Linked DNA regions of Lonchura striata. The protein of the gene in region 1 purifies or fractionates together with the protein of each later gene. This does not show direct contact. Links are inferred from orthologs where the notes say so. Each region holds a gene or a part of one and is shown on either strand. Other genes may lie near its edges.

Region 1 (3,743 bases):
ATTATTTTCCCAGCAGTAGAGTGAACCACTGTTGCCAACTCTTCCATTAAAGTCTTGGAGACTGGATTTTTTTATCCCATCTAGCTATCTATTCTGTGCCCAGGGAACTGAAGTGCTGGCTAACACCATACTTTTTAAGCAGCCAGAATGGCTGCTCCTTTTACCACAAAATTCCTTGAATTAGATTGGCCCAAATATGACTTCCTGTGCCTGCAAACCACGTACAATTGATGTGTTACATACATATGGACCAATTTTCACTGATGCTTTATTAGAGAATTGTGGGAACTCAAAATGTCTCTCAGACATTTTTAGAGGTTCCAGGCCTTGGTCAGAAGCATTCTAGACCCTGGCAGACAACTGAAAAACAACTGTGATTTTGAGTTTGAGCCATGGAATGAATTACCAACTTTGGAGGTGGAACAAGCAGTCACAAAGGGTTAGATAGTATAGTAAAAGTAGTTACAAAGTAGAGGGGAATTTTTTTTAGTACTGTACAGGGGGGTTTTAACACATGTACAGGGGGGTTTTCACTTTGTACATGGGGGTCAGAAGTTCTAAGATGGAGGAAAGTGGGCTGAACCCATCCTTCTTCCTTCTTCTTCCTTACCTCCATGTTCTTGGTGATGTTGGCACTCACAGATTGGTTTAGAGTAGAAAAACACTTGGTAACGTAGGTAGTAGGTATTGGGGAATAATTGTAAACATGTTATACGTAATATATCTTATAAAAGATAGCAGCAACCCTGGGCGGAGAGAGAGATGAAGAAGACAGCAGATAGAGAGGATGTCAGGGTGTGTGTGTGCCTCTACCCAGGCCGCTGATCAAATAGCCGCAGTCCAAGAACATAATCTGTTAGATAACTAGCAATAAACTGCCTTGAGACCGAACAGCTAAAGCCTGCGGAGTTTTTCTTTGGAAGCACGGGTTGGAGGAGGAATTTCACCACCACATGTGGCCCTAAAGCAAGGCCGGGGTTCTCACAGAGAATAGCCACTGTTTAAAATTTATCAGAAGAGTCACCGAGGCAGATGGTGATGATAAGCCAGAGCTGGGACACTTGGCATTAGGCAAAGTCAGAGATATTTCTAGTAAAGCAGTCCAAAGTGCTTTTAATGGCAATACCTTGAAGGCATGTCCCTTATGCAGTCTAGCAAAGCTCTGGACATTGCAGGTTGGTAATGCTTTGGAGCTTTTGGGAGAAGGGACCTTGAAAGGAATATATGTGTCTATACACACACATATTATATACATATGTTTAATTTGAAGGGTTCAAAGCGGCGCCTTTGGCCGCGGCGGGTGGCGGGGCGGGGAGGTGGGAACGGAGCGGAGGCGGAACGGTCGGGGCGGCGCGGCGGTTTCCGGGGAGCGCAGCTGCGCGGCGCCGCCCGGAGTGAAGCCGCGGTGCACACGGGCGGGCGAGCATGGCGGCGGCGGCCGGGCCGGGCGGGAGCGGCGTTTGCCCGGCCCCGGGGGGCACCGATCCGGGCCAGGGCTCCTCCGCCGCCGGGAGGGGCCCGGGGGCACAGGGCAGCTGGTCGGGGGCGGCTGGCGGCAATTGGATCACGGCTCACCCCACGGTAGGCCGGCGCGGGGTCCCTCGGGGGTGCCGCTCCCCCGCCCGGCCCTGCAGGATTCTCCCCTCGCGGCTCTCGAGGTGCTCTCCCCAGGAGGGCCCTGCGGGGAGATGCCCATATAATCTGTTATATTGGGTTTGTCGAGGGGGGCTCGGCCGGTGGAGTATTTGGGGAATGCTACTGCCAGCAGGGGCGGAGGTTATAAACCATGGGATCCCAGCTGGGAAATGTAAATACCTTAAACTTCGACTCCATTTTTTACCACACCGAAAACATGGAGGTGTTTAATTTGGCCATCATCTTATGTTGATGTGTTGCAGCAGAAATGGGTAGAATTATTTACCCAACATGGGTAAAATTCTACAAAGCTAGAGCTGTTCCAGAAATAGTGGTGACTCCTCTTGTGTTTGTTTATTCTGCTTACTTTTTTTATCACCAACATTCCTCTTTGGGTCTCAGTTCACAGAAATGATGTCACTCGATGTATCTGACAGCACTCAAGTCTACGCTGCCTTTTTGGTATACCTGGACCTCTTGGAAGGTAAGTGGGGGCAGTGACTGGATCCCAATGCCCTTAGGAGCTGTTAAATTCATTGTTTGCACTGGGACAGGACCTCTCCTTCCAAAGTCCTTGGTGCCACTTTTGAGACCTTTTGTGCTTCAGGTTTCTGTCCTCTGCCTCCCTGGAGCCTGTGCAAAGGTGAGGGCCCCTTTCATCCAGCACTTCCAGGTGCAGGGTCAGGGAAAAGGCAGTCAGCATGGAAAGAAAAGCAAAAGAGGAGTAGGGGGAGGAAAGGAATGTAGGAAGGTGAAGTGGCAAATTCACTGGTTGAGCTTTTAATAGTCCTCACTTGTAGATTAAAGTGAAGTTCCTCAATCACTGTGTTTCACTAAAGTCACCATTTAGCACATGGCTGCTGTGTGCTGGCCTGTTTTCTGGAAAGGGCAGTGGTTCCTCTAGCAAAAAAGATCATTTGCAAGTGTGGTCGCAGTAACTAATAACCATTGTAGTAATTGTGTAACAATATAGTAATTTATACAATAAATTGTAGGTGTTGTGCTCAGGGCCATGGCTTGGTGGAGGATCTGGCAGTGTCAGGTCACTGGTGGGACTCCATGATCTTGGAAAGCTTTTCTGGCCAAAATGGTCCTGTGAAATCCAGTGTAGTCTGCTGGTGTCTGCTCACAGTGGAGCAGGGTTATGTGATATATAAACTTCTGCCTGGCTTCTTCCAAGTTGGCTTTATTGAAAAGGGGCTGTGAGTAGGCAGCCAGCCAGCCTAAGAAAAATATTTCAGTTTTGCTTGGAGACTGGTGTTTCTCAAGGTCAGGGATGGGAGGGATTTTACAGTCCAGAAATTACTGCGTCTGTTGCTGTTACAACTCTGAAGGAAGTGCCTTAATAGACTTTAAAAGAAGATTTTTGTAGTTGAGCAGCAAAAGCTTCATCCTTATCCCTTCAGCAGGAGGTGAGAACTGTGTATGATCATTAACCATGCTTTTAGCACCTGCTGCTTCACAGATCAGGGTGCTGAGTCAGATGACTAAAGCTGTGTGGTTTTATCTTCTTTTTGCCTTTTGCAGAGCAGTTTTGTCAGACAGCTCACTTCACCACCCATCAGTGCAGCTCTGGAGCCAGCAGGCTGCTCCTGCTCCTTGGGTTTCTTTAGCAGGATTGCTTCTCAGGAGGGGAGTTTGGCAGATGAATGGAGTTTTCTGTGAAGAAAGGGAGGGAAAACAAAACCTTAGATGTTAACTTAGATACTGCATTTGTTATTTGACTGATTAAAACGTGTGTTTTGTGTTCTGCCCCTCTCATCCCCAACGGACCTTTCCAGGGAGGAACTGGCATGAGGTGCAGCCGGTGGGCGTGGCAGAGCTGCAGCTGGTGTGTTTGCATGCCCGGGCCAGAGAGCAGGAGGGGCTCCAGGTGATGGTGCCAGTGCCTGCACACATCCTGATCAGCCACGACAGGTGAGGTGTGCTCAGCGCTTGTCTCGGCTTCCCACTGACAGAAAATGGAGCACAGCAACATTTTACAGGCTGGTGATGGCTTGGTCAAGAGGGGAAGGAGGAGCAAATAGAGGAATATCAGAGGAAAGCAGCCTCTCAGCCCGTAAGCAGAGTTATTTTGGGTTCTGCAGACACACAGGCAGCTTGGAACA
Region 2 (3,743 bases), on another chromosome or scaffold:
CGGGGGCGGCATGGCCGGGGGCAGCGCCCCGGGGGGCACCGCGCAGCCCCCGCACAGCCGCTCGCAGGGGAAGCAGCGCAGCAGCGCGCCCAGAGCCGCCGTCCCGCCCGGCTGGGCTCGGGGAGCTCCGCCGGGGCCCCCCGGCAGAAGGAGGTGGAAAAGGGGGGCGGCCTGCGAAGGAGGAAGGGGGGCGGTGAGGGGGGACCCCCTCCTCAGCGTGCCAGGTGTGGGCGCTGCACGAACCGAGCTGGCTGAGAGCGGAGTGACACCGGGGCAGCGGGGACACCGGGGGGGGGGCACCGGGGACCCGAGGGACTGCGGGAGGAGGGGGCGTCCCAAACTGGGTCTAGGGTCTCTTCTCGAAGCGTGGGGGTCCCCGGGGAGATGATGGGGGTCCTGAGGGGGAAAACTGCGGGTACCGAGCGGGGAGAATGGATGATGGGAGTCCCGACGGGAGATGATGGGGGTCCTCACGGGGTCGGTTGTGGGTCCCGGGAGGGATGGCGAGGGTCCCCGGGGGGCGGGAGGGTGCTGGGGAGATACTTGCGGTGGCGGTGAAGAAGGACGGGGATATCGCCGTGGGGAGGGGGCAATGTCAGGAGCGCTGGGGACACGACGGGGGGCTCGGCGGGGCTCCGGGGGTCTCGGGGGGACACGATGGGGGGTACCGGGTTCCGTGGCTTCCCGGGGGCCGGGGCCGCTCACCGCCCGGCGCTCTCCCCGCTCTCCCCGCTGCCGCTGTCCCCGGGGCGGGCGCGGGGGGGCCCTGCGTGCCCGGGAGCCGCATCACGGCACCGTGACTCATCCCGCGGCCGTGACGTCACCGCCCGCCACCGCCGCCGTGACGTCACCGCCCGGCCCTCCGACGTCAGCCCGGCCGCGGCCGCCGGGGCGCCTCCCGCTGCCTCCTGTCGCCCCGCGTCCCCGTGTGCTGCCTCGTCCCCAGTGTCCCTCCGTGTGCCCCTGTCCCCTCATGTCCCCGTGTCCCCGCCGTGAGATGTATATGGGGGGGGGCGGGTGTGCGCGTTAATGTCGTGCGAACGTCATGTAAACGATCCTGGGACTCATCCCGAGGGATGAAGGGGGGAGAGGGAGAGCCCCACTGTAATGAGATGCAAACTCGAGGAGGGGCCGCGGGCTATATGCAAATGAGATGCAAACTAGCCGCAGAACGGGCAGGACGTGCCCCCTCCCCCACGTGACCCCGGCGCCCCACGTGATCCAGGCAGCCCGCGCTCCCGGCGCGCCGCTCTGACGTCACTTCCGTCGCGGCGGCGGCTGCGGCCGGGGGACGCCAGGCCCGGGACCCCCGCGTCGCCGTCATGGCGGACGATGGCGGCGAGGAGAAGAAGCAGGTGGCCAAGTTCGAGCTGGAGCGGGAGACGGAGCTGCGGTTCGAGGTGGAGGCGGGGCAGACGGTGCAGCTGGAGCTGCTGACCGGCATGGCCGAGGTGTTCGGCACCGAGCTCACCCGCAACAAGAAGTTCACGTTCGACGCGGGCGCCAAGGTGGCCGTGTTCACGTGGCACGGCTGCACCGTGCAGCTCAGCGGCCGCACCGAGGTGGCCTACGTGTCGCGGGATACGCCGATGCTGCTGTACCTGAACACGCACACGGCGCTGGAGCAGATGCGGCGCCAGGCCGAGCGGGAGGACGAGCGCGGGCCCCGCGTCATGGTGGTGGGGCCCACCGACGTGGGCAAGACCACCGTGTGCCGCCTGCTGCTCAACTATGCCGTGCGCCTGGGCCGCCGGCCCACCTTCGTGGAGCTGGACGTGGGGCAGGGCTCGGTGTCCATCCCCGGCACCATGGGCGCGCTGTACATCGAGCGCCCGGCCGACGTGGAGGAGGGCTTCTCCCTGCAGGCCCCGCTCGTCTACCACTTCGGCTCCACCACGCCCGGCACCAACATCAAGCTCTACAACAAGGTGAGCACGGCGGGCTCGGCCTGGCTTGGGCACGGCCCCGGAACTCCCCGGGGTTTCCCTGTGCTGCGGGGCGTCTGAATGCCCGGGGTGCTGTGTGGGGACAGCAGAATGCCTTTTAAAAACAGCCAGCCACCCCTTCCCAGCTGTCGGGTCAGGGTGGGGAGGGAGTCCAGAGGAGGACACGAAGGTGATGAAGGGAGCTGGTGCACTTCCTCTGTGGAGACGGGCTGCGGCAGTTCAGCCTGGAGGAGGACAGTTTGTGCCCTGACTTCAGAGCAGTCTTTCCATCCTGGGAGCCTGCAGGGAAGCCGGAGAGGGATTCTTGTCAGGATCTGGAGTGGTACGATGGGGTGGAATGGGTTCACAGCGAGAGGAGACATTTAGTCTGGATATGAGAAGAAATTATTTTACTGTGAGGATGGTGAGGCCCTTCAGGGTTGCCTAGAGAGGCTGCGGCTGCCCCAGCCCTGGAAGTGCCCAAGGCCAGGCTGGATGGGGCTGGGAGGAACCTGGTCTGGTGGAAGGTGTCTCTGCCATAGGGAACTGGATGGGCTTTAAGATCCATTCCAAGCTAGACCATCCTACAATTCCACCATTTTGCTCTGGATGGCTGTGCGGAATTGAGGCCTTGAGGGTCCTGAAGGAGCTGGGGACAGCGTGGGGACACGGGTGCCTCTGTGTGACCCCTCCTCCTCCCACAGATCACGTCGTGCCTGGCCGACGTCTTCAACCAGCGCTGCGAGGTGAACCGGCGGGCGTCGGTGAGCGGCTGTGTCATCAACACCTGCGGCTGGGTCAAGAGCTCGGGCTACCAGGCGCTGGTGCACGCCGCCTCCGCCTTCGAGGTGGACGTGGTGGTGGTGCTGGACCAGGAGCGCCTCTACAACGAGCTCAAGCGGGACCTGCCCCACTTTGTGCGCACCGTGCTGCTGCCCAAGTCCGGCGGCGTGGTGGAGCGCTCCAAGGACTTCCGCCGGGAATGCCGGGACGAGCGCATCCGCGAGTACTTCTACGGTTTCCGCGGCTGCTTCTACCCGCACGCCTTCGACGTCAAGTTCTCCGACGTCAAGATCTACAAGGTGGGCGCGCCCACCATCCCGGACTCGTGCCTGCCGCTGGGAATGTCGCAGGAGGACAACCAGCTGAAGCTGGTGCCGGTGACGCCGGGGAGGGACATGGTGCACCACCTGCTGAGCGTCAGCACCGCCGACAGCCCCGACGACAACATCTCCGAGACCAGCGTGGCCGGCTTCATCGTGGTCACCGGTGTGGACCTGGAGCGCCAGGTCTTCACCGTGCTGTCCCCGGCTCCGCGCCCCCTCCCCAAGAACTTCCTGCTCATCATGGACATTCGCTTCATGGACCTCAAGTAGGGGAGGGACGGGATGTGCCCCCCGCCTCCTCCTTCTCCTTCTCCTCCTCTTCCTCCCTGAGCCCCCTCCTTGTCCCCCCAGCGCGGTGTGACCCTTTGGTTTTATACTTTTTGTACAGTTTGCTATTAAATCTGGAAGCCTTTGCCGCTGGTGAGCGTCTGCTGAGGGAGGGGTTCCCGAGGGGAGCGGGGATTGCCGGCCCGGGCTCCCCGCGCGCCGGGCCCGGTCCCGGCCGCCCCCTACGGCGCCCACTGTGGTACGTCCCGCGCACGCGCAGAGGCTCCGGCCGTGGCCCCGCCCACCGCGGCGTGAACGCGCACGCCCGCTCCTCTGCCATGCGCATGCGCGCCGCCGCGGCCGGGGCGGGCCGGCGGGAGGCGGCCAATGGAGGCGCGCGGGGGGGCGCGGTGCGCACGCGCGCGCGTGACGTCCCGCCCGCCGC
Region 3 (3,743 bases), on another chromosome or scaffold:
ATTCAGGATACAGCCCAACAACAAAAGCACTTATGACCAGCACAACTGAGAACTGGAGCAGAGGAATGAATGGCAGTTTCAGGTGGCATCAATTGGTGCCTCCTCAGAAGTATTTACTTCCTTTACAGACACAGAGATCCCATAGATAACTTTCCCAGGGAATAGCAAATGACCTCCAGGAGGCTGTTTTATGCTACACCTCTTTTTCCTCCTTTTTATATTTTTAAACGGTGTTTACTCATAAAGAAAACAAAACCCTAGAAACCTTTTCCATGCCATAGGCTGAAGGTATCTCACTGACCTTTTCTGCTTTTGGGGGCATTTTGTACTCAGCATCTGACTGATTTTTATTGCCATCAATTTGTTTACAAACTATTTATCAGAATGCCTGGGGTAAAAAAGCCCCATCTTTGCTGCCAAGATTTAAGAGATGGCATCAGACACTCACAATCTGTTTTGCTAAGGGATAAAAGTTCCCTTTAGATCAATGCACCAATTCTGGAAAGACCAAAAAAACCCCTCTCTACAGCAAAGAAATCCAGCTGAGCCTTATGCTGCATTTCTGCAAGCAGAGGAGCACTGAACACAATGTGGTCTCACTAGTCTGTCTGCCACAATTAAATTTATTTCTGCCATACATACTGGGAAGAAATCCCAATCAGCAGCCCCAAAGGTCTCTGCTTAAGATCAATGAGCTGGCCACAGATCCAACTAACACACTCGGTCAGTGACACAGGGGCTGCCTCAGAGTACGGAACCCATAGCCTGGTGACAAACAGGTCCATCAGCAACACACTAAAAGAGACAATTCCTTGTGAACCAGGTGTTATGCCTCATCCTACTTACACACTCCAGCAGGTACAGAGCTTCCTCGGGCAGCAGACATTGTTTGCCTCGTTCCGAGAACCCCATGGTGTGCCAGAACTTTCCCTGGAACAGGAGCACAAATCCCTGATGGGTTCTGGCTGTTCCCTAATGACAGCCAGGCTCCCTCCCTTTGCAAGAAGCAAATTAAAGAATCTGTGAGGCAGCAGGAGATGATGGCACTGAGCACACTCTGTAGCACTCACCGCAGGGGACTTCAGCTCCACAATGCCCTGCTCCGGTTTCCACTCAGCCTTCACCAGATTCCCCCTGAGAAGAATAAAGATTAGTTTGTTAACCCTGAGAAGGTTAAAGACTGAGGTTTGTTAACCCTGAGTAGGTTAAAGATTAGTTTGTTACTGTTAGTGTGGTCTACAGTCAGCTGCTGGTGTAGCAACACAAAACAAGCTCAGGAAGGTGTCAAAAAGGCAGGTTTCCAGGTGGCATTTTTACAAGGCTTTAGAAAGCCATCATCCTCTGGGTCTAGCAGCACACTTTATCATCACCAGCCAGTTAAAAGTGTCTTCAGTCAGCACCACAGAGACATGTCCACAGGCTACAGCAGCTTGCTGGAGATGCACAGCCTAAGCCAGGATATGTGGATATTGAGGAACTAACACAGGTTGCCCAGAGCAGCTGTGGCTGCCACATTGCTGTAAGTGTTCACAGCCAGGTTGGATGGGGCTCTGAGCAGTGGAAAGTGTCCTTGCCTATAGCAGGGAGTCCAATGGGGTGATCTTTAAGGTCCTTTCCAACCCAAACCATTCTGCGATTCTGTGTCATACAATTACTCGGTTGCTGCCAAGACATCCTCAAATCACTGTACCCCACCCATGGGAACTCACAGGGAAAAGTTAATAGTTGCAGGCCAAGCAGAGAAGGTGTACATTGAGAGGTGTGAATGTCTCCCAAGTGATAAGCACCAAAGTCTGGCAGCACTGTTGAACCCACCAAAACTGATAAACCAGGGACACTGACACCTGGTCAAATCTGCACAAGGCCACACAGGAGCATCAACAAGACACTCTGTAACTTGGATCATGCCCAAGGCGGCAGTGGCTCATACCTGCAAAGGTTACAGGATTATAGACGCACCTATAAAAACCAAGAGCCCTGTGAGGGACTTTCTGAAGCCACAGGTGTGCCACCATGTCCCTGCGCTCCTTCGGGGGCAGCCAGGCTGGTCGCACGGGCACTGAGTGGAGGAGAGCTGCGGGCGGCTTTACTGCGCTGACCAACACCTCCTGCTACCACATCTCGCTCCCACCCGTGACCCCGAGCTGCGCTCTGCCCGCACGGGGCAAAGCCATTCCCAGCTCCCAGGGATGGACTTACGGCCGCTCCGGGCGCTCCTCGCAGAGCAGCCGCCACTGCTCCTCGCAGCAGCGCCGCAGCCTCTCGGCCTGCCGGGCCGAGCCGTCGGGGAGCGAATCCTTCTGCCCGCGGGGGCTCCGCGGGGCCTGGCGAGCCTCGGGCTGCTCCGCCGTGCTGCGGGCGACAGCGGCGTGCTGAGGGGCGGCAGAGCGGACCGCGGCTCCCCCGGTACCGCCCTGGCGCCCGCATGGGTTCCGGTACTGCCTCCCCCATCCGCGATGCGCGGGCTCCCCGGGTGCTCCCGCGCCCTCCCGCAGCTCCGGTTCCCCGCCCCGCTTTCCCCTCCCGCCCGCCCCACCTGAGGCGGCGGGCCCCGCCGGCCTCCATGGGCACGCGCCGGGCCAGCGTCCTTCCGCCGCCGCGCGCGAGCGCCGCCCGGCGGGGCCGCGCCGCTAGCGCGCCCCCTGGCGGCCCGGAGGACCGGGCACCGGCAGGGAGCGGGGGGAAAAACAAACAGCTAAATTATTGCTAATTAATATTAGGTCCAGACTCGGATATCTGCTCTGTCCGCGGTTTCTGGGGAGAAGTGCAGCACCTGGAACACCCGTCCTTCCCTTCTTTCCCCCAACCATGCTGTCACAGGACCTTCTATCACGTTTTCCCCCTCCTCACTGCATTTTGCCCTTTCTTAAATACATTTCCCCAAAGAAAAACATTCTTAATTAATAAATTCTTAGTAATTATAATATAAATAATTCTTAAATTCTCACCAATTCTTAAAATCTTATCAATTCAATAAATTCTTCAGTACATTTCCCTAGCATCACTGACAGGCTGTGCCCTGCCATGGGTGTTGGAAGCACATGGGACCAGCCAGACCAGTCTGGAAGTGGCTGTGTCCTGCCCACTGGGGCAGGAGGATTGTCCCTTCAGTGGTGTCACTATTTCTCCTGGCTCAGGCTCCAGCAGTGGCTGGTGCCTTTGCTGGAGTGTGCAGCGATCCAGCGGGGCCTCACACCTCTGCCAGCATGGCTGGACTGGCTGCCAGGGAAGGCATGGACAGATCTGATGGGGAAACGCACCAAAAGTTCAAGTTTCACCTCAAACCCGTCTCCTGTTGCTGTGGGATATCTCACAGGAGGCACTGAGCCTCAAGTAGGAAAAACACAGCTTTTCTCCCCACTAGAATCCCTGGTTCCAGCTATGGTTTCCCAATAAAAGCCCTTTGAAAAGATGCCAACAAAAGGAGATGAATGTAAAAACCATTCCCTTCCATTTTCCATTTTAAATCATTGCAAATATTTAATTTTCGCTTCCGGCCTCATTATTTCCTCTCCCTGAATTGAGCCTTCACCTTGTGAGGGGGTCAAGTGATTTTGGCCAGCAGTGCCTCTCCATGGCACACGAGGAGACAAGGACCCCCCACCGAAGTTGTCCCCACCTCAAACTTGTGCTGCCCTGATAGACCCAAGGGAGCCCTACAAACTGACATCAGGAACCTGGACTGCTGAGTTTTCTTTCCCAGGGAAAATGGAAAAAGGATGTGCCCAGGGGCCCCTGGCCCT

The links.
Region 2: the proteins of TSEN15 (region 1) and CLP1 purify together in Homo sapiens (affinity purification with mass spectrometry; 4 studies listed by BioGRID and IntAct, counting the BioPlex papers as one, with this or other methods). This does not show direct contact. The link is inferred for Lonchura striata from reciprocal best matches to the Homo sapiens genes TSEN15 and CLP1.
Region 3: the proteins of TSEN15 (region 1) and TSEN54 purify together in Homo sapiens (affinity purification with mass spectrometry; 4 studies listed by BioGRID and IntAct, counting the BioPlex papers as one, with this or other methods). This does not show direct contact. The link is inferred for Lonchura striata from reciprocal best matches to the Homo sapiens genes TSEN15 and TSEN54.

Annotation. Positions count from the first base shown.
Region 1 is NC_134611.1:27,829,061-27,832,803, forward strand, and holds the start of TSEN15 (tRNA-splicing endonuclease subunit Sen15), read left to right. Parts: upstream 1-1,418; 5' UTR 1,419-1,425; coding exon 1,426-1,581; intron 1,582-2,037; coding exon 2,038-2,119; intron 2,120-3,416; coding exon 3,417-3,552; intron 3,553-3,743. UniProt on the Homo sapiens protein: Non-catalytic subunit of the tRNA-splicing endonuclease complex, a complex responsible for identification and cleavage of the splice sites in pre-tRNA. It cleaves pre-tRNA at the 5' and 3' splice sites to release the intron.
Region 2 is NC_134608.1:53,134,687-53,138,429, reverse strand, and holds CLP1 (polyribonucleotide 5'-hydroxyl-kinase Clp1), read left to right. Parts: upstream 1-1,236; 5' UTR 1,237-1,322; coding exon 1,323-1,928; intron 1,929-2,629; coding exon 2,630-3,301; 3' UTR 3,302-3,443; downstream 3,444-3,743. UniProt on the Homo sapiens protein: Polynucleotide kinase that can phosphorylate the 5'-hydroxyl groups of double-stranded RNA (dsRNA), single-stranded RNA (ssRNA), double-stranded DNA (dsDNA) and double-stranded DNA:RNA hybrids. dsRNA is phosphorylated more efficiently than dsDNA, and the RNA component of a DNA:RNA hybrid is phosphorylated more efficiently than the DNA component.
Region 3 is NC_134621.1:4,689,640-4,693,382, forward strand, and holds the start of TSEN54 (tRNA-splicing endonuclease subunit Sen54), read right to left. Parts: upstream 2,582-3,743; 5' UTR 2,566-2,581; coding exon 2,537-2,565; intron 2,353-2,536; coding exon 2,200-2,352; intron 1,135-2,199; coding exon 1,071-1,134; intron 931-1,070; coding exon 847-930; intron 1-846.